Linked DNA regions of Lonchura striata. The protein of the gene in region 3 interacts with the protein of the main gene of each other region in a pairwise test. Links are inferred from orthologs where the notes say so. Each region holds a gene or a part of one and is shown on either strand. Other genes may lie near its edges.

Evidence for each region.
Region 1: the proteins of DMC1 (region 3) and NIF3L1 interact in binary tests that used the Homo sapiens proteins (3 or more experiments, as listed by UniProt). The two-hybrid records come from large-scale screens. The link is inferred for Lonchura striata from reciprocal best matches to the Homo sapiens genes DMC1 and NIF3L1.
Region 2: the proteins of DMC1 (region 3) and KCTD17 interact in binary tests that used the Homo sapiens proteins (3 or more experiments, as listed by UniProt). The two-hybrid records come from large-scale screens. The link is inferred for Lonchura striata from reciprocal best matches to the Homo sapiens genes DMC1 and KCTD17.

What each region holds. Positions count from the first base shown.
Region 1 is NC_134610.1:27,186,816-27,197,263, reverse strand, and holds the start of NIF3L1 (NIF3-like protein 1), read left to right. Parts: upstream 1-6,415; coding exon 6,416-6,851; intron 6,852-7,546; coding exon 7,547-7,709; intron 7,710-8,182; coding exon 8,183-8,309; intron 8,310-8,659; coding exon 8,660-8,798; intron 8,799-9,941; coding exon 9,942-10,025; intron 10,026-10,448. Other genes in the region: PPIL3 (peptidyl-prolyl cis-trans isomerase-like 3), read right to left, coding at 1,468-1,594, 1,878-1,996, 2,379-2,446, 3,075-3,168, 3,937-4,011, 5,184-5,186. UniProt on the Homo sapiens protein: May function as a transcriptional corepressor through its interaction with COPS2, negatively regulating the expression of genes involved in neuronal differentiation.
Region 2 is NC_134607.1:23,098,849-23,109,474, reverse strand, and holds the start of KCTD17 (BTB/POZ domain-containing protein KCTD17), read right to left. Parts: upstream 4,047-10,626; 5' UTR 3,854-4,046; coding exon 3,647-3,853; intron 3,027-3,646; coding exon 2,918-3,026; intron 1,178-2,917; coding exon 1,086-1,177; intron 164-1,085; coding exon 68-163; intron 1-67. Other genes in the region: MPST (3-mercaptopyruvate sulfurtransferase), read right to left, coding at 9,194-9,492, 10,098-10,626. UniProt on the Homo sapiens protein: Substrate-adapter for CUL3-RING ubiquitin ligase complexes which mediates the ubiquitination and subsequent proteasomal degradation of TCHP, a protein involved in ciliogenesis down-regulation.
Region 3 is NC_134607.1:23,807,039-23,817,240, forward strand, and holds the start of DMC1 (meiotic recombination protein DMC1/LIM15 homolog), read right to left. Parts: upstream 3,924-10,202; 5' UTR 3,913-3,923; intron 2,258-3,912; 5' UTR 2,227-2,257; coding exon 2,170-2,226; intron 1,584-2,169; coding exon 1,539-1,583; intron 1-1,538. UniProt on the Homo sapiens protein: Participates in meiotic recombination, specifically in homologous strand assimilation, which is required for the resolution of meiotic double-strand breaks.

The DNA.
Region 1 (10,448 bases), on a different chromosome or scaffold from region 3:
TCCCCTTTCAATACACATTAAATTTAAAGGGAAAAAACCAACCAAACAAAAAACAAACAAAAACCAAAAATACACCCCACACCCTACATTTAATGTGCATCCTACAGAGAGCAAAATACTTAGTGCTGCCACATTTCACATTTTTTGTGAAGGAAAAAAAAAAAGACATGAAATTGTTTCCAGTTCAGTGCAATTTTAAATTATTAATTATTTACAGTTCCTTTGCACAGTAGGAAATTTCCCAGTATGTCCTGCCTCCTGCATGGCAGTAGTGTCAGTCAAGTGTGCTATTGCACACTTCTGTTTACTTGCTACTGCTGCTGGTTTTAAGGAAGAGAGAAGCACAGAGCTGAAAGAATAAAATCCTTTACTTCACTGAAGTATTACACTAAAATATACTAAGCCTGGAACAAGGGCTGGGAGCTTAAAACAACATGCCATGAAGAATACAGAAACTTTTTCCCCAGCAGGTATTAAGTCTTCTCATTACCTCAGTATTCTGTACCTGGCAATATCTTTGCCTTTCTCTTGCAAATGAGTTCTCATTATTTTAAGAGGCAAAGTCTCAAAATGGAAAATAATGATTTGAAGATGACTGCAAGTCTACTGGACCTTGAGCCTCCTAAGGATTACAAAGCATATCCCTTTGCTAAGGGATGCTCACTGAGTGGAAAGAGGACTGGGGCAAGAAGCCCAAAATGGCTCTTATCTGTTCAACACCATGTGACCGCAGCCTTTTTGACAGCACTCTTTGTTTTGTCTACCCCCTAGTCTTTGTGCAAAAAAGTGATGAAAAACAAGTTACAATAAATCCATGTTACCTAGTTTCAATCAACAGCTATGTAAGGACAGAAATACTTACTCTTTCATAGCAATAGTGCTGTGCCAGAAGCAGAAGAAACTACTCCCATCTATCTTTTGGAAAGGCTTAAGAGGTTATCATTCCAACACAGCAGCACAAGAGCAAACACTGCTCTAAATATGTTCTTTAATCTTCTGGGAGGGAAAGGTTTCATCTATTTATGACTCTGCTCTCACCTAGGGGGAAAAACTGCATGTCTTACTTTACTCTTTTGAAAAAGGTAAAGAAGGTGACACATAATGAGAAAGTTTCACATAATTGGTAGCATAAAATTATAGCAAAGGACATTGCTTTAACATAACATCACTCAGAAAGATAATGCAAAACCCAAAGATTAGGAAAAAAAATAAAGTATTTTTATTTTACAAGTATAAAAAACAATGCTTAAAAATCAAAATGCTGGAAGATACTCTGGAAAACCTGGCTTCTGAAGCAGAAGACCTCTCTGTGACAACTCCCAAACAACGTTAAAGCTCCTGAAAATTCTGCATTCAATAAGCAAAGATATGATCCAGCTGAAGTAACCCTTTTTAATGGCTCTTTAAACCCCATAATCTGGGAATTATCTGACCAGTCTCTGCAGAATGTGTTGTAGCATTCTGTGGCTACAGTGCAAAAGGGTTGGCATGAATTGTAATGTCTTTAATGCGAACATCATTAAGAGGTCGATAGGTTTTCTCATTCACAGGCAGCTTCTCCAGCTCATCCAGGGTCTCCAAGCCATCAATAACTCTGCCAGAAAAACACAAGAAAATTGCCTTCTAATAATGCTTTAAATTTCACTGTTGATGTGTGTCAAAACATTTTACAGTCAAGTATCACAAGGCAGGGACTTTGCAAGCAAATGATACAAAATAAGACAACCAATACATTTTATGTGGCAAATAATGTACTTTGAAAGGGATTATTAAGCATCCACGACAGACTCTGAGAAGAAGTTCAAGCATTTGCATGTGCCCTGAAATACTCAGATCTCTCACACACTCTGACAGAGGCGTGCAGTTGAATCACTTACTTTCCAAACACCGTGTACTTCATGTCCAGGTGAGGCTGTTTGCCGTAAGTGATGAAGAACTGTGATCCATTGGTGTTGGGACCATTGTTTGCCATGGAAACTACCCCACGGACACTGTGCTGAACAAGGGGAAAAACCTCAGCATGAATACACATCTGTGAAACCAGAACTAACCTGGGCAAAGTGCTCTATGACTTAGAGCTCTTCCTCAATTATTAAGAACAAATCTTGGTTGCTAATATATTCTATCACAGTCAATAATTAGCTGCTCAGAATGGCTCTTACAGTGAAAAACTGCTTCTTTGCCCACTACATGAAAAATGCTGTCAGAAATTCTCTTTACTTCTGCTTTCTGTGATGAAAACTCTCAAATCTCACTTGCCAAGCACAGAAATGCCTGTTCCTATTATAATAATAAGCTATTGTTCTCCAACCAAGAGAAAATTATTGCCGAGAAAATTAAAATGAAAACATAAGTGCATATTGAGAGCACATAAATACCTTTAGATATTCACTGAATTCATCTTCAAACTTCTTGCCCCAGATGCTGTTACCTCCTTTCCCAGTGCCTGACAAAGAAGCACCACAGTAGAAATTACTGGATTTTCAGACTGAAAAACCCAGAAATTATGTTTGTTCTGTTACAGCATTTTACAACAAAGAGTCCAGACAGCCTGCAATTAGTCTGAGGCAGGCTCTTGATACTGCACTAAGACATAACTCTATATAAGGAATCTATTAAGTAGCAGAACAAAACACTGACACATCCTCAAATTAAATTCAGTATGAGTATGAACAGACACAACTGAATCAGCTTTTCTCCCAAACAGCTGACACCGTCTGGGACGTTTTCCCCAAATGATTTAGATGCAGCCTTTCAGGCAGAAACCACACAAAGCACATTAGTACCTGCTTCTAATTTAGTCAACAGAACCATCATATTTAGTGAAAATAGCTGCTAAAACTCAAGTTTGTAGAATGCATAATTACTTAAAACTGGGGTAATGCCTGCACTTCTGTAAGCCCTCCACAAAAAAAACCCCTCATCATAAAAAAACTCTTATCAACAATACAATAATTCTTTTATTTTTATTTTACTTACGTTTTAGTTTTAATACCCATAATTCCTTTTTATTTCCTTACATTTTATTTTTATGTACATTTTTTCCATAGAAAGACCCAGACAGAAGAATTTACCTAATGGATCCCCTGTCTGAACCATGAAGCCCTTTATATTTCGGTGAAATACGCATCCATTGTAGTAGTTACTAGCACAAAGAGCCAGGAAATTCTACAAAAATCAAACAAACCATATTAACAACTGAAAAATAGTATTATCTTACTAAAATGACAGCATTGGCAAGACCAGTGCTTTTACCTCTGCCTTGCTTTGTGTGAATTCCACAGACTTTTGCTGCAGAGTAGTCATAAACAAATCATAGATAATAAACTCCTTTGATAGTGTCACACACAAAGAATACAAAGCTTTCAGTGCAAGGCTGTCTGACTTGAGGAACAAACAAGAAGCCTAAGACATTCTCTCAAATATCATTCCCATTCAATAATTTTATTTGGCACATGTAATTTTGTAATCAATAACTTAATGCCTCAGCTTTTTCATTAAAATAAATGCATTTTATTTCAATTTCAATTTATTGCAAAAATTCAAAACTGGGGTGCCTGACAAACCGTGAGTCTCACTCTTTCAAACTAAAATCAAGTCTGTGGGGATATGAGTAAACCCATGGAAATTTGGGAATCCTAGGCTGGGTGCTGTATTTTGCCTTAAAGGCAAAGGACACTTTGGGAGATGCTGGAACTTCAAAAGAAGCACCCCTTAACTAAACCTTATCAAGAGAGAAACAGGCATGAAACTCCAGTCAGTATGACAGAGTGCACAAGTTCCATGATTGGAACAGACACTACACCAGCTTAAAATGTTGGCGTTCCATTACATGAAAAGGTAAAATTGCAAAAGCTACTTCACCTCCTTCACAGGCTTGACTATTGCTACTGCTGTTTCACCACTAGGCAATCCTACTCCTGGTGTGTGACTTACTTCACAAGTCTTTGGAGTACGCTCACAGAACAGTTCAATTTTAATATCTCCCACATCCGTATGCAGTGTGACAGCCTGAGCAAAAGGCAGAAAACAGTAAATAAATCAGCAATAAAATACTAACATACACTGTTTTATTTCCCAGTCCCATCAAGAACATAAGTAAGTTTGCACTGCATTGAAGTTTGCAGTGCAAACTGCAAGTTTCACTGTTTCAACATTTGGCTATAAGCAAGGTTACTGTCACAACCAATCCACATTTCCAGTGAAATCACCAGAAAGCACTCAGTTTCATTTAGTTTCAGGACAAATCAAGTTTGCCATGGTAATGCAGTACCTGTTGCATGCTCCACTCCAGAAATACATTATTCATTTGCCAACTCAGGGCCTACTCAGTCACTTGAAAGTAAAGGTGAAGAATCAAGTTTGTATCTATTTTGGATGGTGCACACACCGCGCTGCTTTACAACTAGAGAAGCAACTGATGCCTGCAGCCTTTTGATTAATAAGGCTAGTTCTGAATGGCAGAATGTATAATGTGCCTTCACAGATAAGTAAATCTCAAAATTTAACTTATAAGTTCTTAAGAAAAGTAAGTTACCTTCATAAAATTTAAAATCAGCTTACCCAGTGACGTAAGCAAATTTATCTCTACAGGACATATATATTACAGTGCTTCTATGGAAAGTGCTAAACTATGCAAAAACAATTACTGTGGGGATAGCTGTACAGCAAAACTAATTAAAATCAGCATCACATTGATACTGGCATACTGCTCCAAAAGTATACAAGTAAAGGAGATAGCTGTCCACAATGTCCACGAAGATCCTATAGAAGGTGTATGATCAGTTTAAGACATATATATCTATTTCTCAAATTGCTAACTTTTTAAAAGCCTCTGAGCACAGAGGTTTACATACACTGAATCAGAGGTATGTTCTTGCAACTAGACTAATGCTTCTGTGGCAAAAGAAACCAAACTAGATTATCAAATACATGCCAAAGTAGCATTAAAATCTGGGATCTCTAAAGTGAAAGCATAATGATGTGTTAGACTAATGTAAATCAACCTATTTTCCTTTTCATAGTATCTTTTTATAAGTTTGAAATGAAAACCCTGAACTTTTCATGAAAAATTACTCACAGCATCAGAGTAAAACGTGTAATCCTTTGAGACGGAGAGAAGCTATTCGCTTTCCAAGAGATGACCATTTCAGAAAACATATAAAATGTGCTTTTATTCTTACCATGCCTGCTTATCAAAATCTGAGGTAGCCTTCTATACAGCAACTTCCTGTAAACATAAGAACTTTGTTGGGTTTTTTCCTACCAACCCCCATATGGTTTTGATTCTAAAATATTTGTTGGTTACATGCTTTTCCACCACACAGTTCTAGGGTGCCATTCCAATGACTCTGTGGCTAAATTTTTGCATTGAGCAACTACACAGCATAGAAAAAATGAAAAACTACTAGAACAAGACCACTTAGAGAACGGGGAAGAGGGTAAAAACACTCGTTCCTAGGATGAAAATTCATACCAAGCAATCAGTTTTTGCAAGTATTGTGGCAGTCGGCAGAACAGCAGATGGCAGAAATTCATAGGTAAAAGCCACATGCCACTACCTAACAGATGCGTGATTTGGGGCCAACTCATGACAGCTGTGAGTGCTTGAAACAGACAGGTACCTGCACGCAACCACAGGATCAGACTTTTTAACTTTGTAATACTTTCAATTAAAGTGTTTAAAATGCCGGCAATAAAAGCGCGGCTACATAGAAGCCGAGATATATATTTAAGCGACAATAGGTTCACTATACACCCGCCCTCGCCGGTGAAGCCCCGGTCCCGTGTCCCCACCTCAACCCACCTGTCCCCGCTCCCCGTCACCCACGGCAGCCGGAGCTACCGCTCCCTCCCTGCCCAGGTACCGCCACCGAAATGCCGCGCACAGAACAGCTGGGCTCCTCCACCGGCGGCACCGCCGCCCGCCGCGCTCGGAGAACGCCTGAACCTGCCGGGGCTGACGCGGACCCAGCCCCCGCCGGGGACAAGCGGCGGCGCTCCCGCGGGCCTCCGCTCCCTCCCGGCGCTACCGAGGGGCCGCCCCAGCCGCGCTGAGCACGGCGGAAGCGGCGGAGCCGAGCGCAGGTCCCGCCCCGCCGCGCCGGCGCTGCCCCGGCGGGAGGTGAGCGAGGCCGCCGAGGAGGGAGCGCCTGTGCGGCCGGGCTCTGCGGGTCGGCCGTGCCGCGGGAAGAGGGGCGGAGCTTGAGCTCCGCGCGCTTGGTGCTGGCCAGCGGGGCGGCGTGTGCGGGAGCCCCGGGGTGGGGAGGGGCTCGGTACCGGGTGGTACCGGGTGGTACCGGGTGGTGCCGGGGGTGGGCGGGCGCAGCGTCCACAACCCGAGCGGCCGTGGCTGCTGTTTGCCTGGTGGGTTCCCGGGGCTCACGGCGGCCTGTTTGCCCCGCACAGGTCTCGCATGCTGCTGTCTGTGCCGCCGCTGCTCCGCCCGCCTCTCCACCGCGTCTGTGCCTTGGGCCGCCCGCCCGTACGCGCCCTCATGAACCTCCGGGAGCTCGTTTCTGCTCTGAATGACTTCGCATCCCCCGCTCTGGCTGAAAGCTGGGACAATGTGGGATTGCTGGTGGAACCAAGTCCTCCCCACACTGTGAACACCCTTTTCCTCACTAACGACCTCACTGAGGAGGTGATGGAAGAGGCAGTGCAGAGGAAAGCAGACCTCGTTCTTTCTTACCACCCTCCTATATTCGCACCACTCAAGCGAATAACGTGGAAAACCTGGAAGGAACGGCTGGTGGTCCGAGCCTTGGAGAACAGAATCGGGATTTATTCTCCACATACGGCGTACGATGCCATACCTCACGGAGTTAATAACTGGCTAACAAAGGGACTCGGTGAGATTCTGTTAAGAGCAAACAAGTTAAAATTATTAAAGATGTATGCTATTTTAAGTGGGATCTTTCATCATTTGCCTTCTAGCTTTTACAGGTGTGATTTGAGGATTGTTTTTATTTTTCCTAATATTTTTATGGTACTGTAACCTTAAATACATTTTAGGACATTTTTCTTGGTGGTATATACCAGATAACAACATAATAGTTTTAGATGTATGACTCTACTATTGGATGTGTCTGTAACTGGTGGCGCATATATATTGTCCACTGTAGTTGCAATTCTGATACCAATGACTTTAAATCACCACCTTGAAAGTATGAGATCTCAATATTTGCAAAGCATTTAAACTATGTGAAGTTATTTTAGATTTTTATCCTGTATTGTGGCTCACAGATTACAATAGCTGCATCTTTTCCAGTCTGTTATACAAACTAGGAACTCCTTCTGGTTTTGGACAATCCTTAGGATAAAACTGATGGCATTGAGACTGGCAGATAATACATATCCATCTTTGGACTTAAAACAGACTGTGCCTAATGGAGACAGAATGAAAAGCCTCAGTTCTAGTCAGGAAAAAAGGATTTGAGTGCAAAATTTGTACCTTTTGTGCTGCATCTCTATAAGGTATGTGCCAAATCAGTGTTAGGATACCTACCCTGCTTTATAAACCAGCAATCTTGTACTGTTTTCTCAGGCACCTGTACTTCTGTCCCACTGCATCCATCAACTGCACCAAGCTCTCCAGCTGAGGGCACTCACCGGGTAGAATTCTGTGCAGATGCTGAGCATCTGGATGCAGTGCTGTCCAAAATCAAAGACATCCCAGAGATCTCTTGTCTCACTACTCTCCCAGCCAGGTATCTGCTCCACTCTCTAATGTTGTATTCTTCCTGTTATTTGAAACAATAAGTTGCTGTAATTGTATTTTACTGTTCTAATAATTTTGTTCCTCTGTGCATTGCTGCTATGTTTTTCAGCAACTGAATAACAATCTTAAGGAATAGTTGTCCCTTTCCGGTCAATCTATGTCATGCTAAAAGGTAATAGCAACTCCAGTTTAGCATCACATAGATTAGGGGTGTTAAAAAAGAGTATTAACCAGAAATTTGATCGGGACAGGTGAGTTAAATTCCCATATTTGTTTTTTCCAAGACAAGTCTAGGCTATTACAATGCTGCCTTTTTTCCTTTCTCAGTGTTAGAACAGCCACTGGGATAAAATAATAATAATTATAATGCCAAAACTAATAATTATAATACTCTAATATAGTAATTACAATTCCAAAATTTTATCTAGCTTCTTAACAAGCACCAGGCATATCTTTCCTCAGGGTTGAAGGTCAGGAGCAAACACGAGTCAGTCTCAACTGCTCTCAGAAAGCACTGCTGGAGGTGGTGGCATTATTGTCCCAGAACAGCCTTCTTTATCACAAGACCGAGATTCTCTTACTACAGAAGGTAACAAAATCACAAAATTACTTCCTGTGAATGTATTACTTGTGTGAGCTGAATGCAGTAGTCAGTGGCATCACAGCTTTCCAGTGCTACCCCAGTGCTCCGACATACAGGCATACGGGAATTTGAAGCCACACACATTTTCCAAAGCAATGAAACTATCTATGTGGTCTGTACTAATTCTTAAATCAGTTCCAATAGCTGGTGTAGTTGATATGTTACATTTGAGAACATCACATAAATACTTTTTTGTAAAGTTCAGTGTTGCTCCTGCAAACCAAATATACTCATCCTGTTAAAGTGTGGAAAGCACATGGAGTCAACTTTCTCACGGTAATTTAAATTTTTTTCAGCCTCTTCTTCCCCATACTGGAATGGGACGCCTGTGCACCCTGAGCGAGCCAGTCTCCTTGTCAGACATAATTGAGCGTGTCAAAGGCCACCTGCAGCTCCCCCACGTCCGCGTAGCCGTGGGAGCTGGCAGGACACTCGGTAAATGGGCCTGCAAGCCAGAATGCCTGCTAGGACTGGCACTGCAGGAACACAGGGAGCATGAGTGTGTGAACAACACTGGGAAACACTGCTGCCTTTACCACGTTTACCTCCAAGAACTAGGAAGCACTGTTAAGAAATAGCATCTTAGAATTTACGGTCATGTGAAGTCTCATCTGTATTTTAATCGGATTCCATAGTACGCTGGTTGACGTGGTAGAGACTGAACAAATTGAAGGAAAGATAGCATTTTTTGTAATTTATATAATGACTAAATTTTTTATTTTCCTGCCCAGGATATCAGGCCCAAAGGTGTACTGTTTCATTTTATGTTCCCTTTTGTGACTGAATGTTAAAATTCAGAGCACTCTAAGAGTAAGACACTTTATGGTATCATGAACACAGAACTGTGTTTTGATGAAAGATAAGATAAAGAAGGTAAACTAACTCAAACAGTGGAGTCATTAGTAAGATGTGGAGTAAACATCCTCTTAATCCCAGCTACCTATCCCAATGTCCAAGGAGCACAGCTGGTAGAATTTGTGAGAGTAAATTTGTTGAGACAGAAATCTTATTAGACTGACAATTGCACTAAAAAATATATGTCACTGTCATATATGTAATAGCTTGGAATTAGCAATCACAGCAAGTGGACAATTTTTATTGGCATCGAGCAGCTTTCAGCTTGCATTAGGACTGGCCCTCTGAGAACTGAAAGGTAGGAACCAGTATATCTCAGAGGCAAAGTGCTGCCTTAGTGGCATTATTAGTTGGGAAGCTACTGGTGGTGGAACAGAAGAGTCCTGGAAAGAGTAGTGGCCTGCCTATTAGAGTTCAGAAACCTAACTAAGACCTCAGTAGGAGAAAGGTTGCCAGCAGCCAGCCTCTGTGCTGGAGTTTTCTGCGAAGTTTCCTGTCCCTTGAAAAAAATCTACTTATCACAGAGGATTTTGCTGTATTGTCAGAGGTGTTATAGGCCCATGACTTTCAAACTGACAGATGTCTTCTCCAAAATCAAAGGTAGTAGTTAACTGACTCTAAAATCAAGGTAGTAGTTAACTGAAACAATTACTAGCAATACACACATGAGGGTTCAACAGAGGGGAAGGAGCTTGCTTAACTGTGGCACATTCTACCCTGCAGAATCACCACTGAAGAAAGTTGCTCTGTGTGCTGGTTCCGGGAGCAGTGTACTGAAGGGAACAGAAGCTGACCTCTATCTCACAGGTAACAGACTGCTGTTTCATTATTTTTATAAAAATAGTCATTAGAGAAAAAACAAACCCCAGCAATGACTGTTGAAATACTTGACTGCAAAGAATTACCTGTTATTTATAATTGAGAACCAATTAGTTAGCTATTGGAATGACAAACTAACATTAAAGATAACATGGATCAAACGGCAGTGTGGCACAGTGAAAGATACTTGAATTAAAACATTGCTTTACAGCATTTATTTCAACACAAAATCGGTGCTGATGGCAGCGAGTTGCAACTTTAAGTGTGTTTCTCCTTTGGCAACATGTATTTCCTCTATTCCCTACAGAATTCCCTAATGAAGAAAGAGAATATAATGTAGTGTCTACAGAGCCTTCCAAAGAAACTCTATGGTGTGTCTAGCCAAAGGGACACTTAGTCCATTATTCTCTC
Region 2 (10,626 bases), about 710 kb from region 3:
TGTATGGTATCCATGATCTTTTCCCCAGAAGGCAACTCCCTCCCACCCTGCTCTGCCTTATCCATACCTGCTCAAAGCGCCATCCATCTGACATAGTGGAAACCATCTGAGTGAGCTCCTCTTCCTGGCACTGCAGCACACGGTAGACATGCTTAGGAGGCACCTGAGAGCAAAATTGCAGAGCACACTGACTACAGTCACATGCTAAAAGCTGTTCCCCTCCTGCAGAATGAAGGAGTAATACACCCTTCCTTGACAGATCTGTCCTCTCCCCCATGCCCCAGGTGAAAGGGGAGTGGAAACCACAATCCAGCTTTCTCCTGTGCTGTCATTGGAGGTAAGAGCAGTATCTCTTCTGAAAAGCAGGGACTGAGCTGAGTGCTCCTTGCATTATCCCCAGAAGATACCGCCCTCTTTTGATGGGGAGTATGCACTTGTAAGTATAAAATCATTTTTGCAAATGCAACAAATGCTGATGGGGCTTTGCAGCACAAAGTGACTGTGCTGCTGGAGGCTTAAAACCTGAGGCAGACAAGATGAAAAGTGAGATAGTAGACAATCCTCCCTGTAAGAAAGATTTTCAAAGATTCCTGGCCAAGACAGGTTGTGATTGTGCCACAGGATTGACTCCTTGTCTGCATTTAACTCTTTCACAGCCATCTCTTCACCTATTTCCCCCAGGTTTCTCTACAGGTATTTCCATGCTCTTCATTGTTATTACAATCCCAGGACTACCCACACCAGTCCTCCTCTACATGACAGGTTTGCTCTCCTCACAAGCATTCCTCTATATCACACAGCAACCAGCTACCTTCTTCCAAAAGCAAGAGGAGCTTCCTTAGTTTCAGGGGCTACATCCAGCATTAATTCTGGGATGTAAAGCAAGACTGCAACTTGCTTATTGTAACTACATTCATGGGTGGTAGCTTGTCCCCTTCAAGATTTTGCTGCATAGAGATTAGCACATAATCTTTAGTTACTTCCTTCCATTCCTTGCTGCTTCTCTCAAGTCTTCTCTCCCTCTAGACTCACCTCTCCCCCCTTTTACAACCCTGCTTTCCCCACCCCCCTCTATCTTGCCATACCTGTGTCACTGTGTAGTCCTTCTCCTCCATTCGATCCTTGATTATTCGGATCAAAGGACCAATGTTATAGAACTCGGCCTCTTCAAGGATCCCTGAGAAAGACAGACAGAAGGACCACAAAGACAGAAAGTTAGCAGTCCATCTTTATTTTTGACTTGCAAAAGATCAATTCTGAGCTTCACAAGGTCCGTAGGGAGAAATTATATTACTGCCTTACTTTTTAACAGGCGTGAAACCTTTACTGCAGAGAATTGAAACTCGGCCCTCTGCATCTTGTTTCTAATGCTCACCCCAACTTCCTTATGCTGCCTGCTACTTCACAAATAGGCACTGCCAGTGAAGGCTTGTGCTGAGGACTGCTAATACCTTTCCCAGACACCTGGCCAAGGAGAACAACTGCATGCTCCAGTCTCTCTCAATGACCATTTTTCTGAACTTGCTCAGACTCTCTTATTAAGGCAGGAAACCAAAACTTGCGGTTCTGACAAGTCACCGAAAGACCCAAGAAAAGCCTAACTTGCCTCCTAGGCCACTTGGAGTTGCAGCCCCATATGACTTTATATGATCTTTGGCTCTCTTCCCTGTGCTTCAACTTAAAGCAGGTAAACAGAAATGGTTTTGTTTTTTTCTCTGGGGGTGTTTTTTGGTGGTGTTTGCATCCATCACCTCTCTTGAGACTCACCTGTTTGCTAAAAGGCCTTCAGGAAAAGGGAAGTGGTTCCCAGAAAGTCAGTGAGGGAAAGGTGGCTAGAAGCCAACGCTCACATGTCCCCCGGGCAGTAAAAAGAAAATATATATGGGGAGATTGATCCTTCACTACCTGACACACTCAGACCTCTTCTGTGTCTCTCATTCAGCAATGAATTTGTCTAATGGGTTAGTTTTACACCAGTCTGAATGTTTGCAGCAGGATAAAAAAAAAGGCAATGCAAATGAACTGGACTCCTATTTACATTTCAGATTTGATATTAAAACCTGTGGATGAACTCTGTCTGACCTCAGGATTACAAGAAATGTCAAGTAGGAAACACCTCAGAATTGTGTTTACTACAATCCTGTATCATTAGTTAGGTATATTTTTGGATTTATAACTGGTAAGACTATTCTGAAGAAAATTTCCTTGCTTTAGGTAAAAATGTATAAGAAAGGCAAGAAGACAAATGACCATGCAGAAACTGTGCTTGGTAAGGGCTGGACAGCACAATTTGTATTTGGAATTGGCTCCTTATTAGACCCTAGCATCCAAAAAATAACAAGGCACTGTGGACTGCTGTCTGGTAACACTGTGATGTCACCAAGTCATCCTATTGGACCCACTGTCAACCTCAGGGGAGGGACTGGTTTGTCTGACTTGCTCCACTGGAACTTCTGCAGTCCACAACCCATGAGAGCACAAGCAGCATACAGTGCACATCACTGATTAATGATGGTCTTTATTACAGTCAGTAGAAGAGATGAGCTTGGTTTTGTTTGGTCTACTGGGCTTTCATTCCTAATTAGAAACAGACATTAATAGAAAATTCAGTCATAAAGCCTGGTTAAAAGTAGATCAGGAACCAGTAAAAAATGGTTTATTGAGGCTCTGAGATCTTGCCTACTACTGTCTTGGTGACATCTCTGATGGACAGTTGTGATGCCACACCTGCAAGGATGCCTTCCTCACGCACTCCAAACCCCTTTAGTAAAGGAGACATCATCATGCTTTGCAGGGACAGCTCTCTGAAATCCTCCCCCATCAACATCCACAATGAGAACGAGACGGACAAGGTTGACCACAAGTCCTGTTTTTCCTGACTGTGGTAAGTGGGATCCTTCTGAATTCCACAACTCACCCTCTTCAGCCATATCTTTATCCAGGACCAGCTTCCCATGACGGAGGAAATTCAGAATCGGTCCAAAGTAAGTGGGATCCCGATCTATTAGGTATGCACCAGTTTCATCCTAGCAACAGATATAGATCACAAGGAGGAAAAACCCAAGGAAAACTGTAATCAACTGTAAAATGTCCTAGAATACAAGAAAATAGACACCTAAGCAAAAATGTCCACTGTTTCTAAGATTCTTTGGAAACCATGGGTCCCTGAGTGTCCCTAGCCAAATCAGTGCAGCTTACACTTCAACTCCTGTATTGGTCTGCTCAGCATGCCCACCTCAGCATAAATCAATCCAGCTGAAAAAGCCCAAAAAATAGGCCTCAGTCTCTTTGTGCAACTGTGCATCCCGGCCTGGTGTGAGAGAGCAGAGATCCCCTCAAAGGAACAAGGCTGAGTCAGGCAAACACAGCTGGGAAGTAGACCCAGGATGTGGGGTGACAAAGAGGAAGGAGAGCAAGAGCAGAGGGGAGATGGCCTCTCTTTTCCCCAGCTCGGGAAGGCAGGTGCCAGGCTACAACAAGGGGGAATCTGACAACGGGAAATCCTTCCCGGGAGGGGGGCAGAAAGAGCAGGCATTTCTCACTCAGTTGCTCCTGCAGCTGCTGGGGTCTGGCTCCGTCCCTGAATCCCTCCAGCCCTCCCCAGGCTCGGTGGGGCACGGTGCGGGAGGCAACCCAGCTGCCTTACCCGGTCCGACTGCAGCTCCTCGCCCTGGCACAAACGACACAGGAAAGATTTCTGCTCCCGACACAGGGTCTGCCTGGTGGTGAGGAAGACGGTGCCCCCGACATTGAGCCTCACCCACTTGGCCTGGGTGCCAGCGGGTGGCGGAATGTCCCAGGTGCAGCGTAGCCCCACAGCGTCCTGCATCTCCTCCCTGCCCTCCATCCTCATCCTCACCCCCACCTCCCCCACGGCGTGCAGGGACTGCCGCAGGTGCTGCCTGCCGGAGAATGCCGGGATCTGTAGTTTATCTGCCTCTCCCTCCGCAGCAGCCGTGTTTCCCGGGGACCAGGATCTTCCCTGTGACTACCAAGGGAGTCCTGAGAGGACGAAGGTTGCTCGGCGCTGGAGGATATCACTGCAGCTATTGGGGTGGGCAAAGCGACAGCTCCGCAGAGCTGACACTCCCTGGCTTTTCCCCTGTTCCCGTTTTCACAGACCATGGGCCAGTCAGCACTCCGGAGGTACAGGGTGTTATGCAAAAATCGTCGGCATTTATTTCCACAGACGTCCTCTCTGGCTCATTAAAAGGTTCTGGGAACTGTAGTTTCGCAGGTTCATGCACAAAAGGGTGATGGGAACTGTAGTTTTCCCAGCTCGCTGTTCCTGCAATGAGGAGGCAGTAATGAAAGGCACTGCAGCACATGACCTCAGCCCTGCAGCTGGTACTCTGCCAGCTTCCAGACCTGGCTCTTTTCTGCAAGCTTCCTCGGAGACAGGAAGCATAACCTCAGTGCTGTACTTCACAGCATTCCCTTCAGGACTTCCACCACCCAGGCTCACCATTCAGTGTCACATCAGTTGCCACACTTTCTTGCAGCAAAATATGCAAACAGTTGCCTTCTTGCTAACATATGTAGGGACAGTTCTGGGAAATGTATTTTGAATCTGCATGAAGTGCTGACAGGGGGCAGGAATAATTTTTTTTCCAACTCAGAGGAGTTGCTGACCCAGCAAACTCCCGCTCTGGCCTGCTCTACCAGCACAAACCCCCGGCATCCTTCCCCTGGGCTCCTGCCATCCCTGTTTGTGTCTCGGAAACAGTGAGCTCAGGCTGTAACTCAGCTCTCTGTGGAGTTTTACCTCTGCCTCAGGCGTGTATCACCCGCCAAGGCTGATGTGCCAATCTAGTGTAATAGAATCTAGCTCTGCCTCTGGCACTCGCTCCTGCCAGGCCGAGCCTGGTGCTCAGCAGTTCATGCCCCGGGGGACTCTGTTCAAATACACTCCTTTAGCACGGACACAACCTGAACAAACTCTCTCCAACAGCTCTGTTTTTCCCACTCCCACCTAAGTACAGCTGTGCTTGCCAGCAGCTGGAGCACAATAAGAATGGAAAGGAAACATTGGTGTTTCACCCCATTGTGGCTCAAAACCTTCCTCCACCTAAGCAACTTCCTGGCTCTTCCTTGACAAGGCAACAGCAGCATTGCAGAGACACACAACACTTTTTTTCTTGCATTTAGATCTTAGTGCCTTTGGAGGTGGGGCATTATTGAGTGAAGGGGCTGGGTAAAGGGAAACATAATGTTTCACTCTTACGCTCCTTTTCTTCTTGTCCTTCCTTCTTCTTTTACTTGCAAATCACTCCCTTTTATCACAGAAGAAGGAAGCATTGCCCTTCCCCCAAATCACCCAGGATTTCCTTCACAAAGATGGCATGTGCACTTTGCTCCTTCTGTGGAGGAGTGCCAAAGGGAGGAGAGGAAGAGAGGGCAACATGGGAGAGGTTTCAAGATTGCTGGCCTTCAGCTAATTTGAGTACAGAACAATTCAGCTGGTCTAGGCTGTAAACTCAAATAATTTTGAAACAGCACTAGAATGACCATTAACAGAGCATCAAAAAACATTTTTGTCTACCTATATGGAGCAAGCTCTGGCCGAAATTACTGCCCAGCCCTGGGACCAGTCTCCACTGAGCAGTAATATGCATCAAAAATGCTCAGACTAACACTGACTCGGGCTGAAGCGTCACAGTGCAACACAGCTCTGGGCTGTCAGACTGCTGTCCTCCTAATTCTGGCTCTGGGTCAAACCACAGCAAATTGGAGACCTCTGCCCTGCACTCTGGTGTGTGAGAACTACAGGATCCTGTCTGTGCTGGCTGCAGCTCCAGCATGGAACTGGGGTGAGGACTGTGGCTCTCCAATATGAATGCAGCAGTTGAGTGGCAGCCTATAGCCCCTTATCTCCCCCTGCAAGAAATCTGCCTTTAATTTTTTCCCTTTTATCAAGGGTTCACCCTCTCCTCTTCCTCCTCTCATATCCCCTCAGCCTCTTTCTCCCTTTTAGGGTCCATCTCTTGTTCTCAACACCTTCTTTTCCAACCTCCCCCATGACAATGCTGCTTATGAGTCCAGGGTGGTCTATATTCAAGGCATACTTTGTTCCATCAATACCAGTCTCCACTTGTGGCTGGAACCTGTGATGCTCTGACATTTTGCTAGTAAGCCAACAGTGAATCAGGCAAATAAAATTCCCTACAGTGGACTTGGGGGTGGACACAGTTGAATAATAAAGTCCAGCTTGACTGCCAGCTGAGCCAAGCATTTTGAAGCATGAAGAGAAAGGCCCCATGGCATATAGGCAAGCTAATCTTCCTCCAGCTCCTTGTGCTGCACGAGATCTGTGAGCAACATACCTGAATTCAAAGCAGCATGCAAAGCCTGTGTGTGAATGTGCATCATGCAGCACCTTTGCTGAAGACTGCTGGGAGAAGGAGACAGAATGGTTGTGTAGCACTTGGCTGTAAGCTGGGACCAGGAGAGATGGGAGGAATATGAAATGTCCCTGCAGGCAACACCAATTACTATGGCTCATGCAGTGCTTGGGGCAGTGGTGCTAGTAGAAAAAGGTCTGCTTTAGAATTTGGAAAAATTTGCAGAGGAACACAGTTTACTGGGAAATGAAGCCTTAAATAGTGAAACCTCACTGCTAGAGAGGAGGACAGAAGGAAGAGGAAGGCAGATGACAAAGAAGACAAGTGAAGGACAGGGGACTATGGGATTACTTTTGACTAGGCCAGACTGCACAGAATCCAGACCTCCTTCAGGACAAAAGTATTTCAGATAGTAAAATATACCAATAAACCAATAAAGAATTTACATACTGGCCTGGGATTCTCAAATTTATATAGACCTGTAAAAACTCTAGTCTAAAGGTGGCCACAGGTCAGTGTGACCTTCCTCTTTCATCAGGGCTGTTGTTTAGGCTACCTTTCTGGCTACCATGAGACCTATTCCACCAAAGATACGCTATTACAAATTCTCTGCAGCAAATTTTCCACAAGAAAGTCATGAACATTAGCGATTTGCATTATATCTACTTCTCCCCAGCTTTTGGTTCCTATAGGAAACCCACCCACTGAGTCAGGGACATAAAGATCTGCAGAACATTTATAGTCCTGGTGTAAGTCCCCTCAGCTGTTCCATATGTCCAGTAGCATCTGTTATAGCTCAAAATAGGTTTTTCAAGTCTCCAGGCTTTGAAAACATTGTCTTGGTCTTCACAACATTCTCAGTGCTTTGCATGCATCACCAGAAGGGATCCAAACTAAAAGGAGGGGTAACAGCAGAAGACACTCTTGGATAGATTTTTGATACATGATATTTGAGGGAATACCCCAGAAAAACAAAGTATCTTGCTGTGGGAAAGACGATCTCAGCTTCTCCTCTGTGAAGAAATGAAGGCAAAGTTAAGCATCTGGGAAAAGATTTGCTAAAAGCTGGGAAGAATCACTGAGATTTTGCAGCAAAAAATTCAGCCCGAGAAGGGCACTTGAGTATTGCCAAGCTTGGCATAAATACCAGAGAGAGGGAAGGGCCCTGCTAGATGTCATCAAGCCACAGGAGTGAAATGTAGAGCAAAGGGAGAGGGAAGTTTTCCACGTAATTTGCAATCTCCAGGTGGAGATCTCCAGGCTGGGCTGTGCCACACACCTCCCTGCAACACACAGGACAGAGAAAAGCATCTCAGTCTCAAGAGGAAGCAGAGAGATTCCCCACTGACCTCCAGGACTGCTGGGTCAGTGGCAAAAAAAAAACCCATTGCTTAAGATGCATCAAAAATATTTTGGAAGGGCACACAAGAGCCAGCTCCCTGCATCTATTGCAAATAAGTCTGAAACAATATTTCAATTTTCCTAATAACTAAATTTCCCTGGAGAAACAGAGCAGTCACTCATTTGGCCACATAATCATAAAATCAGCCTATCTGTGTTGTTTGTTGTGACAAGGGTCAGAAGTAAGTAAGCCAGAAGAGATGCAGTCTTCTTTTTTTTTATTTTTGTGGAAGGTTTCTGTGGGATTTTTCGTTTTGTTTTGGGCATTTTTTGTAGAGGAGAAAATCCCAGAGAGAACAAAATCTTGAACATTATCAGGGATACCTGGTGTACTTTCAATTTTTAGACATAAAAGAAAAATGTCTTGGGGAAAAATAGGTGCCAGTATGCACTATTCCTCTGAAGGTCTAAGTTCTACAAAGTTTGTAGGGTAAGGCTGCATGGCAAGAATTAAAATACCCATGCAGTCCATTTTTCACAGTGTAAGCTGACATCCAGTGTAACCTACAACTGTAGACTTTAAGGCAAAAAAGCAAATGGACAAGGACCAAAAGCAGATGGTGCAGAGACCCAAGAGAGAGGCATGCCATTGTCTTTCCTGGGTCAAAGAGCTTGTTGAGGATAAGAGGTGTGGTTCTACTCAGAGAGAGAAGGAAATATCTCATTTGAATCTCACTGTGGACAAAGTGATTCCATAAAAACAGAACTCCTGAAAAGTATTCACCTAAGCAACACTCAGGTAAGTTCAATTCAGCAGAAAGACCTTGAAACATGTTTATTTACATTGTTTAAATCCCAGAATCGTTTCTTTTTCTCAAGGGGGATTTTGGACCATGGGGCTACAAGACTGGCTTAAGTACACACTGTAATTAGAGTCCAAGTACAAGAAGAAATACAATTCAAGTCTCTAGCCTAAGTGCCAACCTCAATGCTATATTTGCTCATTTAAGAGTCATTTCTTTCCATAAAGTTTTGCACTCAAAGTGGCCATAACATACATGGGTGGGACAGAAACAGAGGACATGATTATGAGGCACAGTTATATAAATATGACCATCTCGTGAATGAGCATGACTGAATGCTTTGAGTCAGGAGTTTGGCTTAACTCAATTAATTCCCCATGCTGGCAGCAGCACTCTCTGCCATCCATCTGATACGGTGAAATGGTCACAGAATCACAGAATGGTTGAGGTTGGAAGTGACCTTGGGAGGACATCTGTTCCACCCTATCTGCTCAAGCAGGGTCATCTAGAGCTGGCTGCCCAAAACTGCTGTCATCTTCATCCTCCTAAGCAGCAGCAGGGTAAGGAGAAAGTGCCAAAGCACCATGTGCGCATGATTTTTATCCAATGCCTTCATCTCAAGACACTTAATCAGGAATGCTAAACCCATCTTTTCCAAATCCTATTTCAAGGCAAGCTAAGTGCACAGCTGGGAAACAATGCAACTCATTACACTGTTTTCCCCTTTCCCTCAGAAATAATATTTTCAGGCTGCGCCCTCATGTACCATTCCACCCAGGCCCCATCATACACTGCAACATCTGGCTTGCCACAGAGGTAGGCCCCCAGAGCCACATGGCAGGCAGTGACCCCAGAGCCACATGTGGCTACCACTGGCTTTAAGAGGTCCACCTTCTTCTCCTGGAACAGAGTGCGGATCTGCTCAGGGGTCTTCTCTAAGCCAGACTCTGTGAGAAAATCAGTGAAGGGGATGCTTGTCGACCCAGGGACATGACCAGGCTCAATTCCTAAAGAAAAAAACAATACAGACAGGAATTAATCTCTATTGTCTGGGACAAGTCTATTGCAAAGCCTCTTCTGTTTCACTGAGAGGAATATTTATTGCTTAGAGTATTTTGTTAAAATAAGTACATTTATTTTTGTTACGCTTTCCTTTACTAGATTAGTAATTACTCAGGAAGGATGGCTCTATGTGTAACCTTCATGTTACCACATGGGCACAACCTGTCAAGTTCCATTCTTTCCCCTAGCTCCCTCCACATCTTTCTCCCCATCAGGGCAACCCACACTGATGAAGCACCTTCACAGACCATTCTGAGGGGAAGAGTAGCACCAATACTTGAAGAGACCAATGAGAATCTTTGGGATGTATCAAAAGCTATGTTCCTCACCCAGCCCCTCATGAGGACAAAAAGATACATGTCTTCTCTACTGCTGAATTTTCAAAGAATAGCACTTGCTAGTCAAAAGGAGGACAGGTGGACACACTGCCTGAAGTCCCATCCCATAAAAGACAGCCATTATTTCTTAGATTATCTCTACAGAGTCCAAGCGATGGGCACCTTAAATTAAACCCCTCTTTATAATGCCACTGTCTCAGAAGGCACATTACCATCTCGGGGCTCTGGCTCTACTCCTCGGAACCGTCCCGCAGCACGGGCATCCACTAGCTGGAAGCGACGGGAATCCAGGTTATCTAAGACGTCCTCATATGTTTTCACCAGGGACTTGTCCAAGGAGGCATGGAACTCAGATGGAGCTACCTGGGTTTTCCCAGAGCTAAGTGCATTCCCCTCTCGCTGCCAGTTCTTCAGGCCACCATCCAGAAGGGAGACAGCTTCATGTCCAAAGACCCGGAACATCCACCATACCCGAGGTGCTGAGAAGAGACCTTGGTCGCTGCCATCATACACCACAACATGGGAATCATTCCCCACACCCAGCTTCCCCACATACTCGGCAAAGTCATTAGCTTTAGGCAGCATGTGATCGTAAGGTGAGGTTCGGTCACTGCACTGGTCAATGTCGAAGAAAACCGCACCAGGGATGTGGCGCTCCTCAAACTCTCGCTTTGGATCACGCTTCATCTTTGGCAAATACCAGGATGCATCCACGATTCTCAAGGCCAGGCCAGCTTGCTG
Region 3 (10,202 bases):
CTTTGTGAAAGGTGTGGGATAATACATCAATTTACCATTTCTGGCCAAGATTTTTCTTTGGAAAAAACTATGAACTGGACATATCATCAATTTGTCTAGAGTGTGTGGGTACATAGAGCATAAGAAGGGAGGGGGGTTGTGTGAGAAATTAGTCATGTTTATTTCAAAGCTTATTTCTCATCCTGTGATAGTGTGTGACACTCAGCAGAGGCTGAGGGGTAACAGCACCTTAAATCCTACTAAACACTTTTGATCACCAAATCACAGTCTCAGTTCTTCTAATCTGATTCTCTTTCTGGGCACACTGGCAGATCCAGTAAATATTTTTCTCTCTAGTCCTTGAAAAAAAATTCTAAACCCACAAAAATTGTTTTTCCAGGTAAATGAATTTAACATATATAGGTCATCCTATGTTTGCACAAAGCTTTTAGCTGGCACAGAACAAAAACTTCCTCTGAGGTGTGGGAATAACCACTTGGAAGAAAGAAGAAAAAATAATTGAAAGGAGCAGAAAACCTTTACAACCCCAGAAGAACAGCCTAAGCCATTATTCTTAGTTTTCAAGCTCTTTCATACATTTGTATCATTCTGTGAATGCCATGCCTTGTTTCATACTGATAGGGTAGTACAGCTCCCTTCCAGCTCAGGTCACCCTCTTTGATCAACTTGCTAAATTTTTAAGCATAATTTGTTTATTTTTCCTATGTTGCCCCATAATTTGAACTCCCAACCATGTGATCCTTCTTCAGAACTATCTTTAAAACTGCCAATGAACTTCCAATAAAAAAAAATTGCCAACAATTGCACTGCTGACCTGGTCAGCCCAGTAACTACAGTGCTGACTAATGATGAGTCATTGTGATATGTCCTTCCCATCTTTGTGTGTCTGGAGTCACTTTTATTAAATCTCACATTACTTCAGGCAAACCCAACTTTTTATTCTGCTTCTATAACTCTGATTATAACAGGATTCCAATACATGAGCCAGTCTCCTAAATAAACATATAATAATTGTAATTCAAATAAATAGGTGATGTTTATGTGATGATGGTAACAAGGATAGGAATTCACATTTGATTAAGAAAATAAACCACTTATTTCTCTAGCAACTAATATTTTTCTCACTCCTACTCTACCCCCTGCACAGTATGCTGAAAATAGTATAGTAACTATTGTCACAGCGTGATTTCACAGGCACCAAAAATGCAGGAGTAATTACAAAGATTGGCAGGAACAGGAAATAATCTATCACACAGTTTTCAAATAAATTAGCAAGCAGTTGGTTTTTCAAGAGTGCTAGGTGCTAAATACTTTGAGTATCTTGACACTTTATTTAGGAAACTGATGTGAATGAGATTTTCTAAAAATCTGTCTTGTCACCAAAGGCAAAATTTGTCTCCACTGACTGAGTTAGAACTTATTGCAAGGAGGAATTTCAGTTATTTGCATCAATGTATATACAATTTTAGAAACAACCTTACAGTAGCTTTTGAGGGACAATGACAATTCTATGTGATCAAGTGATTGCTAATACTTACAATTCCATGCTTCTGAAGCAGGTCAATATCCTGAAAAAAGGATTCCTAAACAAAATAGCAGAAATAAAAATAGATGTTGCTTTTTCTTGTTATTACATCTATCTTGCTACATGACTGTTTCAGATTTGCAAACATTTATTGATTTTTCACAAATAATACATAGCTTGTTGGACAACTGAAATAAGCAAAGCCATAGTGAGCCAAAAAGACATACATGTTTCTTATCATCTCCACAAAGTATATCTTCACAGGCAATTAATCCTCTGTTGTGCTAATAAGACTTGTGTTAGCATCATCATAATCTGCAGCTTCTCTACCATAATTTCTCACTCTTTTCATGCTGATGATCCCTTGCATTTACTACAGAAGTGTAAAATATGATGAAATAATGATAATCCCATTAAAAACTGTGCACAACTTTTGAAAGGTTAATGAAAATTACTTGAAAAGCCAGGCTGTACAGGGACTAGGGGAATGAGATTTTCTTGGCAGTAGACTGGAACAAAATTTTAGATGCATTGAACTCCCTGATGGTTTCTGGGGGCCTCCTGTCCCTCCATGGGTTTCTTAAGACTATCAAAATACCTTTGAACATTTACTGCACATAGTTTTCAATCAATAACAAATTTACCTCATCATCCTGGTATCCTGGTTCTTCTTGGACTACTTGATCCTCCATGGCCTTCATCGTGAAAGAGCATGCAATAAAGTATTGATCACTAGTGGGAAATGCAAACAAAGACAGTCATGGGGGGGCAATAAATGAGTAAATGTCTGTAAAAGGACTGTTAAGAAGTCCTTGAACTACAGAAACATGTCAGTATGACATCATATAGAGATTTAAATTTGGATTCTGCTTCCAACTCTTCATTATCTGACCTACCAGGCCAAAAGGAGAAAATCTATGGTTTTTCACTCAGATGAACCAGTTTGGCTAGAAAGGGCTTCATAGGTATTGGGAAGAGATCTCATTCCCTTGTGAGAATCTTGGGTCAGAGATGAGTTTTGGAGTTGGGAACATATTTTAAATTAATTATTACTAGTGGAATTTATTCTGGTGAGAATGCTAAAGGCAGTCTGTGTGTTTATGACAAAAGTCAGCATAGTTGTAGACAAAATAGGCAATGGAAAGGCAATGTAAAAGTTCAGCCTCTCCATCTTTCTGTGACAGAAAACCCACAAAACAGTGCAGAGACGGCTACAACTCCTTAGTTATGTATCTTGAGAGCAGATTATTAAAGCTGTATTTGTTCTGAAGTTCTTGCTGAGGTTCAAAATGACTAATAAATGCTGAAGATGTTTAGGTAATGGCTGTAAAGAGTATGCTTGCATGGAGAGAACAAAAGAATGGTAAGAAAAATCTGTAACTTTTGTTATGCAAACCCATATACAGAGAGCTCATTTCATGTCTTTTCATGTTTAACTTGCCATGTCTGGACTCCAGCACAGCTTCACTGCCCTCTCTGTGTGACTTTCTATAAGCAAAGCCTAGAACTGGAATAGGCACTTAGTGACACCATGGTTAAATGAGTAAAGTGTGACCTCCTTAAATTTTATGAATGCAAGAATAGTGAATACGAAGTAGTTCCTTAGAAATTTGATCTTATAACCAAACTACTCTATAATTTTTTTAGTTTTGTAAATGGGTTAAGTTGCTTCTATTTAAATTGTGAGCTTACACTTGGTGTTCTAGCTCTGGACGATGAAAGGTTTTGTAGACCACCACATCAAAATGTGTGCATATATTTACTTGCTCATTTCTTAACAAAATCCACAAACTATAAGATGGGCTATGTCTAACAGAAGTTGGGATAGTTTAGGCTAAATATCTGCAAAAGGCCTTTTTTTCAGCTTCTAAATGGATACTAATTTGCTTGCAAGAATCCTGTGTATATAGAGGCTGGGAAAGAAAGGAAAAGAATATCAGAATTTCAGACTTATTTTATTCTGTTAGTATTTAATGGAAATATTCTTATAGAATCGGTTATTTCTGAAAATGTCATGATATATTTAATTTCTATTTCAGAATTCTGACAATTATGGAGTGATAAATCATGCCTTCACATAATTACAGTAAAACACTAATTAAAAAATACTTTGGGAAATTTGAAAAATCCCCTAGCTTCAAATACTGAAGGAAGAAAAACAAGTAATGCAAGAGGCATTAAAACTATATTACAATCTCCTTCTTCATTAAAAATGTCCTCATCAAATGCACATAATCCAGCACTTTAACCACTGCTGAGCAGGTTATGGGATTGTTCTCCTACTCCCCATCCTTAGGCAATTGGCATCTCACAGCAGAAAAACGAGGCAGACCCAGACCCGTGCCTTCCTGGAGGCTATTAGGGAAAACGGAGAAATTTTACCTCACCCTATTAAAAGCTTTAGATACGAAAAAAGTCCTCCTGCTTAGTCAAGCGTTGTCCTGCTGCTGGTGTGTGCTGGCACACCTGAAGGATTCCAGTCACCGCTACCTGCAGTGAAGCAGATAAAAGGGTGAAGGTCTGAGACAACAGAGCAAACCCATGAGAAACCACCAACAATCTTGCACCACCTCAAGTACCGAGGGCAGGTGAGCAAGACCTGGATACCGTGGTGTCCTTCCAGCCTGCGGGTGTGACAGACCCACTCCCTGCAATTCCCCCAGGCTCGGGCCGGCGGAAAATGGCAGCAGAGCTCGGCTCCCCGCCTCGGGGATCCGACCTGCCCAAGGCGCTCCGCGGCGCGACCTCACATCTGCTGCCTCAAAGGAAAATAACTGATTAATCGTCATCAACACACCGATTTATTCGGCTTTTCTTTGCCAGCTGCCTCCTCATGAGATGTACATTTCTGTTCCCAAAGGGCGAGGGACCGCTGAACCTCCCTCCCCCGCTCAGAGCACCGTAAATCCCCATCAAAATTAGAAAAGTAATTAAACCCCCAGCTCATGCCCGGGCAGCTCCGCGGGAGAGGGTGGGGGCAGTACCCGGGCGAAGGCTCCGCGCTCGCCGCGGCCGCCCGCCTCACGGCTCCTGAGGGCTCGGCCCCGCCGCCTTCCCGCCTGCGGGCGGGGCGGGTCCTGCGGCCGGCCCGCGCTTCCCTGCGCCGGCCCGCGCCTCGCCTCGCTTCCCTCAGCCGCGCCGCGCTTCCCTCAGCCGCGCCGCGCTTCCCTCAGCCGCGCCGCGCTTCCCTGTGCCGGCCCGCGCTGGGAGACCCCTCGGTCTCCGTCCTCATCAGTCCATCCCTCATGGTTCATCAAACACTGTAGTCGCCGTCTACCGGGAATATTGCGTTGCCCCCACTCTACAGCTGGGAAAGGCAGCATTAGTTAAAACCGGGTTGGTCTGGGAGGCATTTAGTTCTACCCAGCTCTGCCTCTTGTTTTTCCAGGGTGCCGCTCAGGCATCTTCCTCAACCAAGCATACCCGGCGTTTTTGGATTGGATGCCCAAGACCTGTCAGCTGGAAGAGAAGTGACTTGCCTGGAGTAACAGGACGAGGAAATGAGGCCGAGTCACACACATGACTTAATCTGCCATTTTAAAAAAGCTTTTTAGGGTATGAACACTTCTGCGAGACATCTGCAGACTTGGAGACAGTATTTGGAGAGCAGTCGCCCATTTTAGCTCACCTCTGGTGGCACAGTTGGTACGGGATTGCATATCGAGGAGACATCACATCTCCTGTGAGCAGGAAGAGTTCCCGGCTGCCCCTTGTGTGGGCTTGGAATGGCAGAAGGACTGGAGCAGCATCGCAGCCTGTTTCAAGGGCCTTGTGAAAACTTCCCCACCCTCTGCCTGTGGGAGGTTAAGGGCACCTTTTCCAAGCCATTTCTTAGCTAAGTCAGGAAACCAAGCAACAAAACCCACAGCCTTGTGCCATCATCAGCACACCACAGAAGTGCTTGTAGGGTGCCCATTTGAAACATTGAGCAATTTGTGTAATTACCAAAAGTCCAATCCTGGGACTGCAAGGCTTTGTCCATACAGAGGAAGCAGCTGGCACAGCTTTTGAAAACCACATTATTCTGCAAGAGCTATTCCAGAAGAGCACTTAGGCAGACATCCCTTTAAAGGTGAATTCCTTCACAAAGTATGCTTTTATTCCAGAACAGAATGAAGAGAGTGACCCTTCTGGTGCTGTTGAGCAGCTCTGCAGCAGAAAATACCTCACGCTGTAAACTACCTTTCCTTCGTTATCCTTTTAGTTTGTAATATGGTCTTTAGAAAGGTCAATGAATGCACAGAATATTAAGACCATTTCCCCCTCCAAAGAGCTACTTTGGGCAATAAATTACATTCTACAACTTCAAAACATTGTGTGATCATTAATTGCTCATTCGGCTTCCAGCTGGTGTTGTACAAAAACCCTGCAGAGCTCATCCTGTTAGATATTGTCCCAACTGAGTAGAGGCATCCCTCAGTCTTCTCCTTCCATTTTCCAGGTTCTGCCATGACCACTGCATCTCCATCCCTGAAGAACACACTGTAATGAGACACACCAGTGTGATACACATTTCCTTTCACTTGAGGTCTTGTACCTGTTTGGACAAGAACCAAGTCAAACCATTACCATACAATATTAAGTGTCCATTTGATATTTTTTTTTCTCATCCTCACAAACTTCATCCATGGTTGCATTAGGGAAATCCTGAGGGGCTTTGTTATTGGGGTTTTGTTTTCCATCTCTGGGCAGAAGTAAGATGAGCTGCAAAAGCTCTGTGCATACAATGGGTCTCAGGGTAGGAGTGGCAAAATATCAGATCAGCCAAACTTTGAAATTCAGACTGAAGTAACAGGAGAGCTCTATTGTTAAAATGGTATCACTAGAAGGAATAGAGATGGTACTGGGAGACTGAGTTATGTCTCCATCACAGTCTTGAGATCCTTAGGCTAAGCCTTGACAAAAGTATTCAATACTACAGTACTGGGAGTGATCCTGCATTAAAAAGACACATTAAAAGATAGGTTTTGCTACCTCTAATTGATTTTGAGTTAATTACTACAGATATGTTAGAGGATTAGAGATCTCCCTTCTGTCTATCAAGATGCCCTGTCCAGACCATGGTTCAGCATTGCAGCTATGAAGGAAGTAATGAATTAGAGGGCTGTGCCCACTGATATTAAAGAGATGTCAGGTCAAGTCAGGAACACAACAGATTGCATGTGACTGGAAAAAAAGATAGCAGTAATATCAAAACACCAACTAGAGAATTCAGGAATGGGTATTTTTCTAAATGAGAAATAAATAATCTGTATATCAACTATACAAACAAAGTAAGTGATAGCAATCCAAGCCCCACAAGATTCACTATTTTTATAGCTGATTGTGAAATTAGAAATTATTTTTATATATAATTAAGAATGACATGATAAAATAAAAAATAAAAAAATAAAGCAAACTGAAAAAAAATGGCCACTTGCAATCTTTCCAAAACCTAAACTGAGTTAGAGGATTTATGGAGATATGCATCAGTATATCACATGTGATCTATCAAAAAGACAAAGGAGATAAGAAAAACTGACAAATTTGAGAATGCACATGTAATTTTTTATTTAAGATAAAAAACCAAACTAGTTATAGAGAACAACAGGACTGAAAGAGACATCAAGAGATTATCTATCTCAAAGCAGAGTCTAATGTTCTTTTGCTGGGGAGTCTGTAGATTTTCTTTTATCTTTTGAGAAAGAACTAGACAATTTCAGTGCTTGCCTATCTTTGCCGCTACCCTTGTTGTCTACCCTTTACTATGCCATGTAATTTTATCTGTAAAAAATATGCAGTATTTGAGCTAACTTCTATTTTCAAAAGTTTAGGTAACTGAGACTCTAATACTTACATGCTTTTTTCTACCCCAAAAGTGAAAAAAAATGCCAGCATAATCACGTCTAAAAAAATGCCCAAACATGATGGATTATGTGATTGTGTGTGCAGCTTGTTCTTACCTGCTCCAGACCTTTGCAGCTGAAACATGCAGCCCTGGAATATGGTATTGCCACTCTCAGTAATTTTCCATAAGCTTTGTTCTGAATGTGCAAGGACTGAGATTTGTCAGGTTTGCTTTGTTTGAACTTCTCTTGACCCTACTGTATCTTTTCATTGGTTAACTGTGACAGCAGTTTCCATAATTAACTAGGTCTATGGCTAATTTGTTTTACTTCTGTTTATCTGTGTGTGGTACAACTATCATTTTATATAAATAAAAGTAACAAACAGTTATTCTGTGTAGAAAAGGAGACTTATGACTAACACAGTGATGCAGTACAGAGAAATGCAGGCATGGAGCAATAGCAGAAGCCTCGAGAAGTGGGGGCACAAGATTTGCTGAGGAATACAGGGGTATAAAAGCAACAGGCAAGGCACAGGACTGGCCTGGTGGCTGTGAACAGCTCACCAGTGATCAATCGAAGAAAAGCTGAAATGAAGCTGGATTCAGGGGTAACAAAGAGAAAAAAAAAAAAAAAGAAAAAAGGAAGAAGAAGAAAAAAGTAACATTCATAATAGGCACTACATACCATAAAATCAGATGTAGTGTGGTACTGCCTGGTGTAGATGCAGCAAAGTTGGGGCCCTGCCAGGATCACTTTGCCATGCCTTTTCCAGCCCCAGTGTTCCTGGAGCTGTAGGCTCTTTGACTCTCTCAACCCTAAACCTAACCCTAACCACTCCCCTAACCCTTTGAGCACATTTCTAACCTATGCTAATATATATTTTAAAAAATATATATTTTTAAAGCAGCATTCTCATTTTTAACACTTCTTTCTGCTTGAGCAACTGGTGCTGCAGCCTTTTACAGTTTATCAGTCTCTGCACAAAAAAAAAAAATCTCTATTTTAATCGCTATTGGAAAAAAAAAAGAAATGCAGTTGGTAAAATATATTACTCTGAATCATGAAATGTATACTTTGGGAAGTGAAGGTCTTTTTTTAAACTGTGAGAGCTTTCTAAACAGCTGTTGCAAATTCCAAAATAACTGCTCTTTACTAGCTCCACATACATAGATTTTTGTTCTGGAATAAGTGCACCTTGTTCTACTTCAGCTTAATATTAACTTTATGATAAACAGAAGTAACAGACTAATTATGAAACAAGGCTGCCCACTTATGTAGCTAAGTGGAAGTAGTAATTGCAATTGCATATATCTTTGTTCATTTGAATTACCTCCAAGATCAGATAAAAGTAGGATGAAGAAAGCAATAATAAAATTTATTTGATATGAAACTGGTATCAGTCTTCAGATTTGGTGACAATGCCTCTGACAAGCTTGCATTTGAATCAAAGCTCAGTCACAGCCCTGGTTAAAGTCCATGGGTAAATATCTTCATTTTGCTAAGTAAACCAGAAGAATTGACTAAACAATCCTCTGCTCACAGATTGAATGGGAAGCCATTCCCCAAGGGAATGAAGCACATCACATGGCCAGTCCCTGGCACCAGGGGCCTGATCACTGCCTGATCATGGCCAGACTCTTACACTGCCCAAACTAATGCCAAACTAATGCAGACTGAGCCTGAGCTTAGCTTTAACCCAGCAAGGCATTATGATTTGCTTTTCTCCTATTTGTATTCCCTCTGGTGCTAATCTGAACAACAAAAAAGGAAAGATGGAATCAGGCAGCTGGGAGCTGAGGGAGAGAGGGAAAGACTGTCTTGGCACAGTGCTGGACCAGTTTTGCCATTTGGTGGACTGTCACCGTTCCTGTAGACAGAGGGACTTCTCTGGGACTGAATGCAAATACAGGGGGTAGAATTTGTCTGGCAGCAGCTGCACATATTGGTGCCTAATAAAAAGTGAGAGAGAAGGAACAAGGATTTGATGAAGGAAGCTGGGTCAGAAATCCTGATTTAACTGCAATAACTCATGAGAAAGGGAGTTAAAACAAGAAAATGTTTCAGTGCTGCAGAACATAGGCCTCTGTGTGTGTATTCTTCACAAAGAGGTTCTGACTTCAAATGCAAGCAAAGTTGGAAGTACTGCAAATACTGTCTTAACTGTTGTGGCCAAAATACTCAATGCTTCTTTAACTTATTCACACACTAGCACTGAAAATTAGTCTGAAATAGACATGAAGCAAAGCAGCTTTATGCATCAAACATAGGACAGCAGAGTTTTCAGTGTTACAGCTGAAAAAGGCATAATTAATTGAATGTCTTTTTCTCCCCTTTAATGCATTCCAGCTCAAAGAAGCTGAGTGCTTCTGTTGTCAAGTAGGGTGAATAATGGCTTTGAGTACACTGCTCTGTTTTGTACTCAGGACAACATTTTCATTAGCATGTTTCAAAAAGAAGAATGTATTTAAAGTGAAGCTGATAGAAAACTTTAAATTTCTAGGTCATGGCAGATTTCATTGGTCACATAAAAAAATTATGTATTACAGGAAAAACATTTTTAAATTCACATTTGGAAGAAATTCAGCACTAGTATTTGACACATTTCTTCATTTTTAAAAAACCACCAAATTTTGAAGAGCCTCTGCTTGAAAAACTAATAAATTTAGCAGTCTTCCCACATTCCTTATCAGTATGGAAAAACTCAAGTTTTCCAGCTTAGCCTCTCAGTTGATATCAGTTTTCCTTTTAAACCAACCATCCCGCAGAACTGAACATGCTCCTCCTTTGGCCAATTTTTTACTCTTGGCTTTGCTTGCTGCTTCCCATTGAGTGTGTATGTAAACCATAAA